Rattus norvegicus: one gene and its partners. The protein of the gene in region 3 interacts with the protein of the main gene of each other region in a biochemical or structural test. Links are inferred from orthologs where the notes say so. Each region holds a gene or a part of one and is shown on either strand. Other genes may lie near its edges. The genes, in order: Faslg, Mapt, Fyn and Eno1.

Region 1 (4,029 bases), on a different chromosome or scaffold from region 3:
GGTGCTCATCCCAGACATCCCAACGCAGAAGATAAAAACTAAAACCTCTTAAAGAGTAGAGTTGCCCCCCCCCCAAAAAAAAGGTGGAGTATAGGAACTTACTGGGATTTGTATGGTTTATATGGGGAAGTGATGGGAACCAAGGCTGAGTTCTTAGAGGTTGTTAGGCATACATAAATGCTGTGTATGTGGGGCCAGAAGACTGAAATCAAACCTAGGGAGTGGTCAGTTTTTAGAAAGGCATAAATTTGCTGTAAATGTTGAGTAATGCTCAGTCTGTCCTGTGCGATGCTTAAGGTACACTTGCTATAGAAAAGAATTATTTACCGCTTACCCAAACTCTTCTGAATTAGGCACTTCAAGTTTCATTTGGTAACCAGAATAGGGATTGTGAAGTTAAATGATTACAGAGTAGGAAGGGGAAGTGGGATAGGAGGCAGGCGCAGTGGGGGCAGGGCTGCCTGGTGTTCAGAGATGGCCAGGGGATGTGTCCTACTCTTCTGTTTCCAAAGAGAATAGAAGTACGCATTTTTATTGCGTGCGATCTCAATTTTGAAAGAGGGCAACTAAGGGAACCAAAAACATTGGTGATAGGAAAGCAATCCTGTGGTACCAAGGATATATGGGCCTGGTGGTGGTTTGTAACCTCTGATCCAATCTGTGGAATGGGTGGGGCGACTTTTACCCTCTCAACTATGAAATGGGGGCTCGGTAGAGGGAAGGACAGCAATTGAGGATTAAATTCCCTGTGCTCGGATTGTAGAGATCGCTTCCCTAGCCAAACGCCTTGGTCTTTTCCCAGTGCCTTAGCACCAACAGCCCTCACAGGACACACCCCATAGCACAGGTCTTGCAGCTGTGGAATAGCTAATGTCCTCTAGGGGTATCCAGCGCTGATTTGCTGAGTGGGACCTCAGGCAGGTAAGCCTGGTTTACCAGTGAGCACAGAGATGCCAATTGGAACTTCGAAGAGTTTTCGTCAGAAATTTGTGGGCGGAAACTTCCTGGGGTTGCTGTGAGCTTTTTTTTTTCTTTTAAGGCTTCTCAGCTTCAGATGCAAATGAGTGGGTGTCTCACGGAGAAGCAAAGAGAAGAGAACTGGAGAGAGGTGTTTCCCTTGACTGTGGAAACTTTATAAAGAAAACTCACTTACCTTCTCTGGAGCAGTCAGCATCAGAGTCCTGTCCTTGACACTTCAGTCTCCACAAGACTGAGAGGAGGAAACCCTTTCCTGGGGCTGGGTGCCATGCAGCAGCCCGTGAATTACCCATGTCCCCAGATCTACTGGGTAGACAGCAGTGCCACTTCTCCTTGGGCTCCTCCAGGGTCAGTTTTTTCTTGTCCATCCTCTGGGCCTAGAGGGCCAGGACAAAGGAGACCACCGCCTCCACCACCACCTCCATCACCACTACCACCGCCTTCCCAACCACCCCCGCTGCCTCCACTAAGCCCTCTAAAGAAGAAGGACAACATAGAGCTGTGGCTACCGGTGATATTTTTCATGGTGCTGGTGGCTCTGGTTGGAATGGGGTTAGGAATGTATCAACTCTTTCATCTACAGAAGGAACTGGCAGAACTCCGTGAGGTAAGTCTAGCACATGGGTTAATAGGCCCTTGAGTTCCTGGACTCTGCTGTGTGGGAGTAGGGACTTGCTATGGCCCATGTGGGCCACTGTGTTGTTTGCAATGATTTGAGGTTTTTGCTGTTGTTTTGTTTTGAATGGCAAAGATCTTATTGATCCCCTCGCTTTTAGAAAAGAGTTGTTATAGTCTCTTCTTTCTAGTTGGAGAAGCAGGCGTTCACTCCCTCAAAGAGAGTGATCCTCACTCAACCTGTGGGTCATGACCCCTTAGTGGGGGAGCCATTTTATGGCTGGGGGTCACCACAACATGAGGAACTGTATTAAAGAGCTGCGGTGTTCCCTTGAGAACCACTGCTCAAAGGAAGTTATTTTCCACCTTCTAGACAATTCGAAGCAAATAATTATTCTTCTCTCACTTGTCAATGGTGTTTGATGAACTTTTTATTGCTTCATATTTAGTGATTCAAGGAAGAAGATAAACTTTAAATCTTGTTCAGAAGTGTAAATAAATCTCTTTGAAAAGACTTAGAAGCCTTACTATAACTCTAGATACAATTGCATGGCCAAACTCTAACTCAGTCAGGGTCTGACATATTTGAGTCCTCTTTCTATGGACTGCTGTGACTTCTGCCTCCTTGGCTTAAATAACTCCACATTTATTCTATGACTCTTTTTTCCCCCCCACTAGTTCACCAACCACAGCCTTAGAGTATCATCTTTTGAAAAGCAAATAGGTAAGTACTTTTATGTCTGTCTTTTGAGTTCCCGGAGGAACTCAACACTCAACAAAGTTGTGAGGATGCTTGAGATTCCGTCCCATTCTTGGGCTCATGATTCCTAGGCACAAAATCCTGAGGAACTTTTAACTCTTTGTTCAGTGTGAAAAGGTAGTTTACTGCTCAATATCAGTGTATCTGAATGAATATCGAACGTAACTCAATAGAATTTGGACTTGACTGGAAAGGAGCACACATACAGCCCTGGATCTTTTCCCTTGGCTCCTTCCATGGATATCTTGGTCCCATCTTACATTGTGGTGACTGTGACTCCTAAGGACAGAGGCAAAAATACTAGATGCACAATATTAGACCAATTAGGTTCAATGCCCAGCTTCCCTGGTATGAAACTGGGGCTAAGAGAACAGTCCCCTGACGCCTTGCTATCTATTAAGACTTTACAACGCACAGAGAAACTCCCACCTTTCAATAACGGCTGAGAAATGAGAAGCAAATGCAAAGCTGGTGTCTCTTGCAAGGGCAACACAACAGTTTTATCCTAATAACTGAAGAAAACCGAACCTTCCATCAAAAGGAGTGCTGGCTCCACACTCAGTGCGGCTTGGTCTTCATGTGGGTCCCTCAACAACTGGAGTGGGGGCTGTCCCTGAATCTGTTGCCTTCCTGTGGATCCCACTCCCCTAACTGGGCTGCCATGTCTGGCCTCAGTGGGAGAGGATGTGCCTAATCCTGAGTGACTTGATGTGCCAGAGTGGATTGATATCGGGGGGGGGGGGATGGGGGTGGGGGTCGCTCCCGCTTCTCAAAGGAGAAGAGGAGGGGTAGGAGGAGGGACTGTGTGAGGGAGGATGGGGGAGTGGCTGCAACCCGGATGTAAAGTGAATAAATAAATTAATTAATGGAAAGGAAGGAAGGAAAGAAAGAAGGAAGAAAGAAAGGGAGGAAGGGAGAGGGAGACGGAGAGGGAGAGAGAGAGGGAGAGAGAGAGACAGACAGAGAGAGACAGGAAGGAAGGAAGGAAGGAAGGAAGGAAGGAAGGAAGGAAGGAAGGGGATATAAGCTCTTTCAGGGGTCACTATGGTGTGCTCTGGTTTTCAGCTCTGCATTCAAGTCTCTAAGGACCAGAGCCCAGTTTACACAGGCACAGTGGAAAATGACTTGTTAGAAAAATGAAACTTCTCAGGATTTCTGAAATGAAATCATTTTGAAAATCAGTGGAGCGTGGCTTATGAAACAGATGGCACTCACTCATTTTCACCCACTCGATGGAATCATTTTAGTGAAGAGAAGTCAAATGAACAGATGAGTCAGGTCGCCTACCCAGTGGTTATCTTCAGAAATTGATAAACCATCACAAGAACGTCAAAAATTGAAACTTTACTATTAAGAGGAGCTTATTTAAAAAAAGGAGTATTTATTTCTTCAATCAAATTCATAAAAAGAAAAAAACCCCAAAGATTATCAAATGAGAGAGAGAGAGAGAGAGAGAGAGAGAGAGAGAGAGAGAGAGAGGAAAAGCCACGTTTGGCACAAGTTTCATCCAGCATGCATGGAGATTGCTGTAAGAATTCTGAAGAACACTAAGAAAGTTCATACCGAGGTCTTGAACTGTCAGTCTACCTTGTCATCGCATCACCGAAGGGTTCTTTTGGCTGGGAGTGTTCATCGCTTTCTGATAAAACGACAACCGTTTGGAAGAAACCGAACTC
Region 2 (4,205 bases), on a different chromosome or scaffold from region 3:
CAGAGCTAGGAACCGAGCCTCTCAAACTCTGCAGTAGGATCATGCAGCAACCCGACGATCTTCCATTGACAACTCGAGCCTTGGAGAGCACAGTACCTCACTCGACCCCTCAACACAGTGCAAAATGGGAGAGAGTTCGAAGCGCGTGCGTGGTCCGAGCTTTGTTTCTGCGCTGAGTGAAATGTTCTCCCCCTCCCGCTGATCTTCCACCTACAGAACTGTGACACCTTTGCCCAACCGGTCGCTATTGACAGCCTCCCTCCCAGGCTCCCCTTTTCAGCGTCTACCCCAAGAGCCTGGCTTCTTCCAGATTAAGAATCCTGCTTCCAGCAGCCCGTCGTGTGGTGAGAGATGGGTCATATTTGAACCTATCTTTCAGATGCTCATGAAATCTCTGCGGGGCAGGCTCAGCCACGACGCCACAGCCTCAGGCCGCGGTTTGACTCGGAGAGGGCGTTCCTACCCCAGCCGAGACATTTTCAGAAATGCACATCAATCTAGGCAGCCTATGTGGGCAATTCGGCCCTTAAGGAGCTCGTGGGTCTCAAAACTGCTCGCCCGCACCAGTATTCAGCGGTAGAATTAACCAGAAAACCTCGAGCTTACTGTAGGGTGTGGAGGCTGATACCTGTTTGCTTTCTATCCCTCTCTGGTTTCAAGGGCTGTCGTACATGTGGACTTTTACGTGAAAGCCCCTCATTTTAGTAATATTAATAAAATAATATCAGTACGCTTATAATAAAAATACACTAGCATCTATCTGGATGGCTGTGGTTCTCAGTGCCCGAAAGAATGATGCTCGTCTTAGGGATGAGGGGCTCCTTGCTCGCGTCTTCTGGCACCATCAGACTACCCCAGGGTTCTGAATCTCTGCGGAGTAAGGGGCGGGAGGGGGGCGGGGTAACGCCTAGAGGTTCCTCCTCTGGCTGGTGTGGTTCCTATGGCAACCCCTAAACCCCACTCTGTGGGTTGGGAGGGATGGGTGTGGCCGCAGCACCCCAGGGGATCTCATACCCTTTCCTCACACTCTCCCACCGGGAGAGGCAACAGGGTTCAAAGGTGGCGGTGGGGGAGGGGGAGTCGAGCTTGCGGAATCTCCCCATTCCCGAGGGTTAGCTGGCTCCCCTAGCAGTGAAACACGATGGGGTGTGGTCCTCGAGACCGCCTGCCTGGGTGTGGGGAGAGATGTGCTTCCTCTGAGGATTCCTACTCACGAGAGTCCATCTCGAATCTCACCCATGTGGCTCTGGGTCGAACTGGGGAGAGGGCTGCGCGGGGTCATGTCCGTACCATGCGTGCCCTGGGGGTTGTGACTAGACCCTAGCAAGTCTGTAGATCCAACAAAGGGTCTGAAATGAGTGGCGAAAAAAAGGATGGAGTTGCTCAGAGCTCGTAGGCAAATACCCTCGTCGAATGAAAAGCTCCCCGCCCCCCGTAAAAAAAAAAAAAAAAAAAAGGGCTGAGAGCGCAGATCCTAAATCACAAGACGAACAAAGCAAGGAGCTCCCCTAGACCACCGCAGGTGAACGCTCGGGTGCGCACGGCTGCAGAAGCAAAACGCCAAGGTTTCCGTGTTCGTTACCCTCCTGCTCCTTAACATGGGTCCAAGCCGGGTCCTCCAAAGCCCGGCCACAGCTCTTGGCATGCTACGATAGAGACGTGACTCGCCGCGAAAAGATGGCACCTCGCGTTCAGAAGGGGAAAAAACCGGAGGAGGGGTGGCAGCGGGAGGAGACACAACCTACTCCCCCCTTCTCGCCCACCCAGGTCCACACCCACTGCCGCAGTGAGGGGCGAGCCCTGCGCGCCAGCCCGCGCCTCCGGCAGGGAGCGCCGCACACGCCGGGAACTCAGCGCAGAACGCAGAGAAAGAAACGCGCCCCGAAAATGCACCTGCAGCCCTCATGTGGGTCTATGCTGGCTGCCACGCTGCGCGCCCTCGAGCTGGGAGCCGCTGCTGGCCAGCCCGCTGACACCGCGAGGCCAGGTGACCCCTGCCTCTTCCAGCTCCCACATTGCGATCCGCGCACCACCTTCTCTCGGGCACGGCGCTGCCCCTGTCACTGTACCAAGCGCGCGCAGGGGGAAGGGCAGCTAAAGTGACAGCGCCTGGACCCCTCCCCATCCTCCCAGCCCCCAAATGTCCCCTTCCAGCTTCTGAAGGAGGAAAAGGGGAGGGGGCGGGCCACCGCCTTAAATCAGGGCCAGTGAAGGCCGTGTCAGAATCACTGTCAGGGAGGTGGAGGAGAGGCATGAAGGCGGTCATCTTTTCTAGAACCCGATCCACACCTTCCTTAGGGCTGATGGCAATCGAGGCAGAGAAATCCGATTTTAGATTTGGTTTCGGGGGTCGTCGTTGGACCCCCATACACACACGCAGACCCACGCCCATTGCGGCAAAAAGCTGATATCTAGATTATAGAACAACCCCTTCCCTAGGTCACCGTCATCCGCGCCCCACCCTGCGGGCACAGCCTCCCCCTCTTTTGCGCAGAGCCGATGGTGCGGACCCCAGCACTCATAGATACACGCATTCGCCCTCGTGCGTGCATCTCTTGCACGCGTTCCTTCCCAGCTCTCCAGCGCCGAGGGCGCAGAGAGGCCCCCGCCGTTGCGCCTGACTGATGCCCAGCGCCCTAAATCCACCTCTGGGGCGAGGGGCGGCAGGAGGATGGCGCACAGGGGCAGAAGGGGACCGGATTTCAGAGCTGCGGCGCTTACCTGATAATCGACAGGAGGCGAGGACAGAAGAGGACAGCGGAGGGGAAGGTGGTTGTGGCGGCGGCGACAGCAGAAGGTGGGCGGTGGCGCCGGCGCTGCTGCTGGTGCTGGAGCTGGTGGGTGGCGGAGACTGTGAGCGCGCGCGCGGCCGAGAGAGCGCGTTCTCGAGGCCGGCGGGCAGCGCAGGCGCGAGCCACGGGAACGCGAACCTCCCCAGGGGAGGGGCGGGCAGCGAGGCCTGTGTGGGCACCTCCCCTTCCGGCCGCCAGGGGGCGCGCGCGAACGCCCCACGCCCTCCCCTCTCCGCGCCGCCCGGCTCGCCCCTCTCCGCGCTTCCCTTCCCGGGTCCCGCCACGCCTCGGGCCGCGGTGCTGACCGCCGCGCGCACGCGCGTTCCGTGGCGCACGCGCACCCCGGCCGCCCGGGGCTGCAGCCTTTGTCTAGTCCAGGGGTCTCCTCCCTCGGTCCCCGCAGAGTCCAGGCAGAACGGTGTGCGGGTCGTCGTCCGCTTTTCAGTTCATCCTCGCTGGCTCTCCAGGTGGTAAACCGTTGGACCCCAAGTGCTACAGGCAGCTCGAGTCTCCCAAAATGTGGCCCTCCATATAGAGCGCACTTTCCCAGAGGCAGCTGTTTGCTTGCTTTTCTTTTTTTCTTTTTTTGGTTAATAGCCAAAGTGAATGATTTCTTTGAAGAACCCTCTTGAAACAGATTAAGTTGATCGTAATACACTTTAGAATTTTCCTGGAAAAAAAATTTTAAGTCAAGGAGCATTCAAACCCATTAGGTATCTTAACTGTGACCCTAGGGAAGAAAATTCTTAAAATAGGAAAGTTCTAATGCTTACTGCACTGCAAGACATTTTCACAGAGTTATTTTTATACGGTTTATTGAGACACCTTTGTACAGCCTGAGAGCTGAATTTTTAAGGTGCCTGCTGGAGATGGCCACCTGCTGGATGTCAGGCTTCCGGTTGGAACTACCCACTAATTCTCATTCCAGTCACCTAAGGTGTGGGCTGTGGCTCTAGCTTCTTTTCTTACCTCCCCAAAGCTCAAAGCTCTTGGACAGCTGGAGCCTGTTCAAATGCAAGGAAGAGAGGCAGGCACCTCCTGCCAGAGAGGTGAAAACTTGATTTGAAGCATAAATTTGCATGCTTTTTTTTTTTTTCAAGGCAGGTTCTCACTATGTTGCCCTGACTGGCTTAGGGCTCACAGAGATCCTCCTGCCTGCCTCTGCCTCTAGAGTGCTGAGATTCAAGGTGTACACTGCTATCCCAGCTATTGTTTAAAAACCTCCAATGTTGTGCCTGCTCCGTGTGCTGGTTCACATATGTAATTCCAGCATTCATGTAGACTGAGGCATGAGGTCAAGATCAGCCTGGGCTACATAGTGGAATCCAAGCCAGCCTGGATTGCAGGGTGAAAGTGGGTCTCAAAACAAACAAACAAACAAACAAACAAACAAACACCTGGGCTGGTGAGATG
Region 3 (4,047 bases):
CCCTTCTGAGCAGAAACACACGTATGTGGTGCTATCACAGGGGCACAGACGAATCTCTTGTGTTTTTGTACCATGATACATTCTCAGGCCTACTATAGCTACTAACATGAGTCTTCTTAAAAGACGCTGGGTACGTACGTACGTATGTATCGTTGATCTGATTCATATTTGTCGCTCATTAAATGAAGCCACCAAGTAATACCAACCAGAGTAAAACCCAATGAAAATGAGACAAGCCAGATTAGGTTCTCGACCCAGTGGCAGAAATGGACAATAAACAAAAACAGACTCTGACGATGGTGTTGGGAGACAAATTTGGAGACATGGTGGCTTGGCTGGAGCAGAGAAGCCGGTGAAGGTTTCAGAATAGAGACAACATTTGTGCTGGGCCTGGGCTTCAGAACATCAGAAGAGGTGGGGACTCCAGACCGTCAGAAAATAGAGGGCATTTGCTCACACTCATTTAACCTTATTAATAAGTGCCTCTGACTTGGTCAGTACAGTGTGAGTTTATTGTGTATTGACTTTCCTTTCTGGGTTTGGCATCCCAACAAACCAGCCTTTGTTTCCAGAGAGCATTCATTATTAACCCTTCTGCTGTATGTATGGTGTGTGTGTGTGTGTGTGTGTGTGTGTGTGTGTGTGTATGTGTGTATATGTGTGTACATGTATGTATGTGTGTATATGTGTATCTGTGTGTGTATATATATGTGTGTATATGTGTATATGTGTGTATATGTGTGTACATGTATGTATGTGTATATATGTGTATCTGTGTATGTATATGTGTGTGCATGTATGTATGTGTATGTATGTATATGTGTGTACATGTATGTATGTATGTTCCACAATGGATGTCAGCTTAATTCATCACAACTCTTTTCAGATAAAACAGCTAAAAAGTAAACTTGGGACAGTTCCGTTACTTTGAACACTTGAGGCCCCACAACATGATCCAGGAATCAGCAGACTACACCAAAGTTTCTGACACACTATGTCTGAGATTTACATGAATATCTCTACCTTAAGAGGAACATCATGGGTTCTGAATCCAGTCATCTACACCCCCGGCTCATAGTCAGCTAGCCCCAAAGCTTGAGAGTTGAAACCACTTCCTCCCAAGTCTGAGGGCATGGTACTCGTGGGGCAGGGGCAGGGGCAGGGAGACTGAGCACAAAGGGTGAAAACTACTGTAAGCTGCTTTGGTGCTGAGAGGATGTGGGCATCCAAAGTCACCCTTGAACCAGACAAGTGGTGCCTCCAGGGTCTTCCGAACGCCAGCCCAAGTGCGTTCATGCCACAGCCCCGGTCACTTAAATAAAAGAGCATAGCTGGACACCACAGCACATTTCAAAAGACTTCATTCAGCAAAGCGGCCTTGGACTTTAGAGAATCCAGTCAGGCTGCCTCACTCTTGGTGAACTGATTCTGACTCAGACACAAAATTCTTCTGATCCCCCCACCCATTGATTTATCCTGTCTCAGGTATCAGTACCTATCCCCCAAGAAGAAAGGGGAGGAAAACGAGGGATGGAAGGAGGGTTCCTTGAAAGTATAGCAACTCCTAAAACAGCTGAAATAATTCCTCCCTTAAATAGGGGAAACTGCAGTTGCCACTCAATGCCACCACCCTGGGAATACAGCAAAATAAGTGCACCTGCCACCCGGGATCGGGAGCCTTCGTTTTTTGGTGAGTGTGGCAGAAAGGACTAGAGATCAACTGCTTCATCAGAAAGAAAGGGAAGCCCCAGGGATGAGACAAGAAGCATGGTGGTGCCTTGGGGACTTTATGTGTCTCTTTTCTATGAACTGAAAGGGCTCTTTGTGTCACACACACACACACACACACACACACACACACACACAGAGAGAGAGAGAGAGAGAGAGAGAGAGAGAGAGAGAGAGAGAGAGTCTGATTTATTAGAGGAAGGAGGGGCAAAATGGGTGATTTTATTATCCCTCCTCCCAGTGAGTCCCAGCCAATGCCTCCTGGGCCCAAGCTTGGTGGCCTCTTTCTAGCCCAGTCCCTGTGGCCTCAGAGATAAGAGAGCCTAGAGGAGACCAAACAAAACCATCTACCGACCTAGGGAAGTAGGGAGGAAATCCAGCGAGTCCAGAAGGGAGGAGGAATAAGCTTGAAAGCCGAAGGGGTGGGGGACAGAGGAAGAAAAGGCAAGGCCAGACACAGGGGAAAGGGGAAGGGTGGGTGGGTGGCAGCACAGGAAGGGTGAAGGGGAGGGTGGGGGAAGTGCAAGGGAGGTTCCAGAAATAGGCAGAAGGATGCGCTGGGGAAGGCAAGGGCCGCCGAGGGAGGAGGCCGGGAGGTGGAGGAGTGGGGCAGGGGTTGGGTGGGGAGGAAAGCAGCACCGGGCATCAATTATTAAGTGATTACATCATCCCTGACATTAAAACAACACACACAGCCCGGGTCCCCGCGGGGGGCTGCGAAAGGAGGGCGGAGGCGGAGCTGGGCCAACCTCGCCCCCAAGCCAATTCTTATTTTTTTCACCCGGCGCCTGCCGGCGGCCGAGGAATGGCACCCCGGTGCCCGCGCAGCCTCCGGGCGGCACCCCGCATCAGTGTCCTGCGTCGCGGGGCGCCCTGGAGGCTGCGCGGCGGGACCGCAGCGGGGGCAGCCCGTGCGGGGGCGCTGGGCCGGGCGTCTCCGCAGCATCCCGAGGCTCCGCGCATCCCCGGTCGCTTACCTGCGTGGCGTGGCGCTCGGTTCCGGAGCACATTCACATGGTCCTCTCCCCGCCCTCCTCCGGCGAGGCCCTGGCGGCTCCGGTGGCTCCGCGGCCGGGCCCAGGAGCTCGTGGGCCTCGCGAAGCGCCGAGGGGGCGGCGCCGGTGTCCCCGGCCCGGCAGCCCAGTCCCTCCCTGGCGCGGGCGGCGGCTTTGTGTGCGCCCGGGGAGTCCTCGGAGCGCTCCGGCTAGAGGCGGCCTCGCTGCGCTCTTGATCAGCGGGCGGGTCTCGGAGGCTCGGCGCACAGCGACCCCTCCTCCTCTCCGCGGAGCCCCCTCCCCGCCGGCTGCGCTCCTGACAGATGGCGCAACTGCACCGACGCGCCGCCGCCGCGGCTTCTCGCAGCTACTCTCGCTGATGCTCGGGCTGCTCCGGATCCCGAGGGGTTCGAGAGGGGGCGGGACACGCCCCGAGACTGTCAGTTCCTTCTGCCCTATCAAAGGGTCCGCTGAGGGCTGAGCGCAGTCAGCCATTGGTGCGCGCGTCGGAGGCGGGACGGCCATGGGTGGGGCCGCCGAGTGGGTTGAGCGTTACTGTGGTGGCGGGCAGCCTGGCGTGCGCAGGGCCACAGGGTGTGCGAGAGGATGCGAGGTTGAGGAGGAGAAGGAGGAGGTGTGTGTCTGAGGATCCTGTGGAGTTGCGAGTTGGTGGGGTGGACAGGAGAGAGCGCAGGGAACGAGCTGCTTTCCTACTTTGCTAGTGGAGACTGGCACCTGCCACTCGAGCCTCACAGCCATGGGAACCTATTTCTCCAAAGAAATAGGAGTGGGAGGATAAAGTGGAAAGGTGTTAAGAAGGGCGATGGCAAATTGGAGAAGTGAGGAGCAAAGTAGAGAAGTACCAGTGCAGAAACTGGGAAAGCTCGAACCAACAAATGCGCAACGAATAATAAGAAGAAGAAATTCATAATTTGCTAGTCTCATTTTCTTGAGCACCCAAATATGTTCATGTTCACACACACACATCAGGAAACGTGAGAGGAAGTATGACTAAAATTCAAGGGGCCTGCAACAAAGAACCTCCAAACCACACAGTAGAGATGCTTGGGCGCTTTCCTAGCTCTTTAGAGTAGCCATTGCCTGTCTGGCTTCTCGATGCATTCAAACTTCTCTTGGTTTTCTTGTTTTCATTGGTGGCTGGGCTGAGCTTTTTACTCAGATTTTCCTTGATGAAATAATAACTGGGTTGGTATGCAGTCGGTCTTTATTTCCGATTCAGCTTTTCTATGGCAGGATGTAACTTCATAAAAAGAAACACTTCGCCTTCCTGATTTTCTTTATAGGTAATTCCTGTTTCCTGAAA
Region 4 (4,072 bases), on a different chromosome or scaffold from region 3:
TCTTTTTTTTTTTTTTTTTGAGACAAGGTCTCATTGCTTTGTCCTATCTAACTTAGAATTCACTATGTAGACCTGGCAGGCCTTGAACTCAGAGATCTGCCAGACTCTGCCTCCCGACAGCTGTGGTTAAACACCACCTTTATTTTCTTTATCAGAAAAGTAAAATGGCTCCACCCACCCCTTCCGGACATTTGTCACATCACTTTGTAGTATCAGTCTAAAGCTTTGAGAAATGCCTCGGGACTACATCAAACCCCAAACTCTAATCACGATTATGGATCTGAAGAGTCCGGGGAGGTTTCATCTAGACCACTGATGGGGGAAAGGTATTATTAAATCTTTCAAGAAGGGGACAGTAACAGAGATAGAGAATGAATCCACACTGAGCTAGCACATCGCAGAAAACAGGGAAAGTTCTAGAGTAGGGTGGAGTGGCTGGGTGGGTGTAGCACAAAGGTACTGCCTTTACTTAGCATGAGTTGGACGGTAGGATTCGGTATCCTCCACACAATAACAAATGAGTAGGTAATATTAAGGGAAAGTTTACTTTCCTTTGGGTAACTCGGCCTGAGACTCATTACAGAAAGGACAAAAGGACGGGGTCACCTTGGCAGATGGCACCAGAGAGCCAGGACCAGACTTGGTGGAGGCGGGGGGCGCCCAGTGCGCAGGCGCAGTAGCACATGCCCCCCCCTCCGTCAATTCCACGCGGGAGTGAGGCCCCTAGGCCGCGCATCAACGTTTCCACACCGCCGGGGGCTCCAGCACCTCCCGGCGGGGGGGGAGGCCCACAGGAAGGCCCAGCCCTAAAGGTCATCAGCAAGGTCGTGGGCCGGACGTGAGGCGCTGCAGCCCGGCCGAGTGCGTGTAGGACTCGGAGTACGTGCCGCGGGCTCAAGCCCTCATGCCTGCCGTGCAGCCCCGCCCCGCCCGGCATCCGGGCTCTGTAGACCCTCAGCTAGGCCCCAGGTTCCCAGCCGGAGGCTCGCCCGGCATTCCGCCTATGCCTCAGGCAGGCGAGGCCAGCCAGGAAGGACAACCCCCGCCCCCGTGCCCTTGCCCCTAGACCGGGCAGGCCAAGCGGCCGCCTTGGTCACGCTCTTCTCGTGGAGTGACGGCAGGCAGAGCCAATGGAGTGGCGGCACGGAGGGTGGGCGGACTCGAAAGGGGAGAAGTGGGTGGGGCCTAACGAGCAGGCTAGGAAGTCGGAGTGGGAGGCGCTTAGTGCTGCTCCGGTACCGAGTCGCGCTCACGTTTGTCCTTAAGACTCCCTTCGGTGTCTCCAGGACCCTCTTTCCTTCCTCCGCAGCGATCCTACTGCCAGGTATGGTCCGTGTTCCCCTTGGGCACAGCTCGCCTAGGAACTCCTCTTGGTGACCCGGTGAGCTCGGTCACCCCCTACTCTGGGCGCGAGCCGCTACCCTGGGAGCACTCGGGTCAGCCTCGTGGAAGGACGCAGGCTCTTGGAGGGTGGAGGTGCAGGCCCTCGCAGTCACCACCGAGCTTCAGGGTTGGAATGTAACCGGGTACCCAAGCGGACAACAGTAAATGCAGGCCACGGATAATCGCGGCCGTGGAGAATAAAAAAGTACTTGTTTCTATGTAGCTAAGTGGAAGGTTTTTGAGGGAGAGAGCGACTTAACCCCCGCCCCGGTGTTCATTAAATTTTTTCTCAAAATGGAAGGGCGATAAATAAGGATGCCCAAGAGGCAGAGCGCCCCACCCTAGTAGATCCTGCTGGGGCTGTGTCTCCTGAACCGCAATCGAGCGTCACTGGGCGGGAGTGGTCCAACCCATCTCTGCTCTGGAATATTACTGACCAGTGAGTGTCGGTTAGGTACTTGTAGTAGAGGAAATTGCAGCAGTCCCGTTGAATAAGTGGGAAGCAAGCCCTCAGGAGACCTCGACCGAGTTAGGCAAGAGCTGCGGGCTTACTGGGTGGCTACTAGTCGTAAGAAAACTTCCTGTCCTTTCTTGCCTAGACAATGTGGTCCCTTAGCTGACTTGCTTTCGGGGTAGGCCAGAGCCAGTCTGAGGTGATAAGCCTGACTGACCTCTAGATCCACTTTCCTGCCCTTAGTCCGGCGTTCAATCCCGATAGAGCGAGTGGGTGAGGTTTTCTTTGATTAGAGACCTTTGCTGCCTAGCTTAAAGATCCAAGCTAGATGCAAATGGTGGAAGGGGGGACCAACTCCTACAGGTTATAAAGCCTCTGCAGAGCGCCGCGGTGGCACGTGGCTCCCGCGCCCCCATAAAGGAACCAGGCCTGGTGATGCACACTTGAAAATCTAGCGCTTAGGGATGCTGAAGATGGGGATAACCGAGTTCGGGTCAGCTTGGCCTACATAGGAAGTGCAGGTGTGAGATTTTATAACAGTGGATAAAAAGTGGGTACTTTATTCCTGGTTAGTGAATAAAGGTCCTTTGTCTTAGAGAAGACAAGCACAGAAGTAACTTATATTGAAACAAAAAGTATGCCTTTGCTTCCTTGACCTCACCAGAAAAGGTGTAGGGAACCTATTTAGATAACAGCTTCCGAATGCTAATTGTCTTAATGTCTCATCCAATTTAGTTCTAGAAGCCGTTTGGTAGATTCCTTTCTTGGAAAGCCTGCTGGGGAAGAAGTAAGAAAGGGACCTTCTTTTTAGACTTGCTGTTTGTTGCTCAATATCCTCTTTCTCTGGGGTGTTTTCTAATTAGACATCTACTTTGGGTACCTTTTAAAGGCGAGACAAGGTCTCCCTTTGAAATAGAAGTCAACTCTTGCCTAAATATGGCGGCCATTGAACCCAGGACCGCCCACGTGTTAGGCATCTAGCCTGCATGTGCCACCGGGCTAGAGAATGGCAGTACTGATGACCACCAGCCAAGGAGTTTGGGATTCTGCCTTCCTCTCACAATTTCTTACTGGTTATCAAATCTGTGTCTGCTGAATGTTCTGCCCTTGCCATGGGTACAACTTGATGAATTGGGGTTTCTGTTTCCACAATCACCCTGCTTCACAATGTTGCATTTCCCTCCGGTCTACAGGTCTGTTTAATCGCTGACCTGCCTTCTCTGTTACTTCCCACTTCGCTGCGCAGCCAGAACATAGTTCTGTCCAGTTTGTATTTACCTAATTGCCCACAGAACACTTAGCTTCAGAGGGCTATAAGTGACTTCTGTACGTAGCCCACTTGTTCTCTGTCCAGGTCCAGGATCTTGGGGGTGATCTCTTGGGATAAATAAACCTTCTATATTAGAGTTTATGGGTAATATATGAACTATTTTCCCCCTACAGAACTTCACCATGTCCATTCTCAAGATCCATGCCAGAGAGATCTTTGACTCCCGCGGGAATCCCACCGTTGAGGTGGATCTCTACACCGCAAAAGGTACACGAACCCACATTATTTCCTGGTCTCTTGCACCACAGTTTATTGATAATGTGATGGGGAAGCAAGGCAGAGTCTGATCTACTCTGATCCCTCTGAGCCTTCCACCCACTGAGCCATCTGCCACCATGTCTGGCTTTGCTTCTTGGTATTTAAGACAGGATGTGGGTTGGGTAGGTCACCGGGGCAGGGAAGTAAGGGAGGGCTTAAGCCCTGGCTCCTGAAGAAGCCTGGCCTCCTGATCGGATCAGCCAATGGAGGGGGAAGCCTTCTCTCCCCACATGAAAGGAAGGAGACAGCCCGGAAGCTCTGCTTTTTCCTCTAGGCCAAGCTACCCATGGTGAGGAACTCGTGTGTTATAAGGGAGTGGGGATATAGTTTGGCAGAGCATTTGCTTAATATGTGGGAAGTCCTAAATTTAAATCACAGCATTGCAAGGAGAGATTGGCTGGGTGTGGCAGCGACTACCATAAATCTCAGCACTTGGGCCTGCTCAGGAGGGAGGATTGCCAGTTTTGAGACTAGCCTGGGCTACATAGCAAGGCCCTGTTTCTACTACTCAGAGACAAAACAAAAAAAAAGCCCACCCCTGCTGATTCCAGCATCTAGATGTAGAGATGCATGTAGTGGGTGCCATAGGAAAGAGGCCTGGGGAAGATGTAGCAACGTCTTACAGAGCTCACAAGCTCACCAGTCTG

Evidence for each region.
Region 1: the proteins of Fyn (region 3) and Faslg form a complex in vitro, tested with the Homo sapiens proteins (4 studies listed by BioGRID and IntAct, with this or other methods). The link is inferred for Rattus norvegicus from reciprocal best matches to the Homo sapiens genes FYN and FASLG.
Region 2: of the proteins of Fyn (region 3) and Mapt, one has a biochemical effect on the other in vitro, tested with the Homo sapiens proteins (10 studies listed by BioGRID and IntAct, with this or other methods). The link is inferred for Rattus norvegicus from reciprocal best matches to the Homo sapiens genes FYN and MAPT.
Region 4: of the proteins of Fyn (region 3) and Eno1, one has a biochemical effect on the other in vitro, tested with the Homo sapiens proteins (2 studies listed by BioGRID). The link is inferred for Rattus norvegicus from reciprocal best matches to the Homo sapiens genes FYN and ENO1.

The regions. Positions count from the first base shown.
Region 1 is NC_086031.1:76,692,648-76,696,676, reverse strand, and holds the start of Faslg (tumor necrosis factor ligand superfamily member 6), read left to right. Parts: upstream 1-1,173; 5' UTR 1,174-1,246; coding exon 1,247-1,585; intron 1,586-2,271; coding exon 2,272-2,317; intron 2,318-4,029. UniProt on the Homo sapiens protein: Cytokine that binds to TNFRSF6/FAS, a receptor that transduces the apoptotic signal into cells. Involved in cytotoxic T-cell-mediated apoptosis, natural killer cell-mediated apoptosis and in T-cell development.
Region 2 is NC_086028.1:89,637,272-89,641,476, reverse strand, and holds the start of Mapt (microtubule-associated protein tau), read right to left. Parts: upstream 2,853-4,205; 5' UTR 2,722-2,852; intron 1-2,721. UniProt on the Homo sapiens protein: Promotes microtubule assembly and stability, and might be involved in the establishment and maintenance of neuronal polarity.
Region 3 is NC_086038.1:44,321,432-44,325,478, reverse strand, and holds the start of Fyn (tyrosine-protein kinase Fyn), read right to left. Parts: upstream 2,816-4,047; 5' UTR 2,739-2,815; coding exon of another isoform or gene 2,706-2,738; intron 2,527-2,705; exon of another isoform or gene 1-2,526. UniProt on the Homo sapiens protein: Non-receptor tyrosine-protein kinase that plays a role in many biological processes including regulation of cell growth and survival, cell adhesion, integrin-mediated signaling, cytoskeletal remodeling, cell motility, immune response and axon guidance.
Region 4 is NC_086023.1:166,002,149-166,006,220, forward strand, and holds the start of Eno1 (alpha-enolase), read left to right. Parts: upstream 1-1,212; 5' UTR 1,213-1,324; intron 1,325-2,572; exon of another isoform or gene 2,573-2,624; intron 2,625-3,280; 5' UTR 3,281-3,289; coding exon 3,290-3,374; intron 3,375-4,072. UniProt on the Homo sapiens protein: Glycolytic enzyme the catalyzes the conversion of 2-phosphoglycerate to phosphoenolpyruvate. In addition to glycolysis, involved in various processes such as growth control, hypoxia tolerance and allergic responses.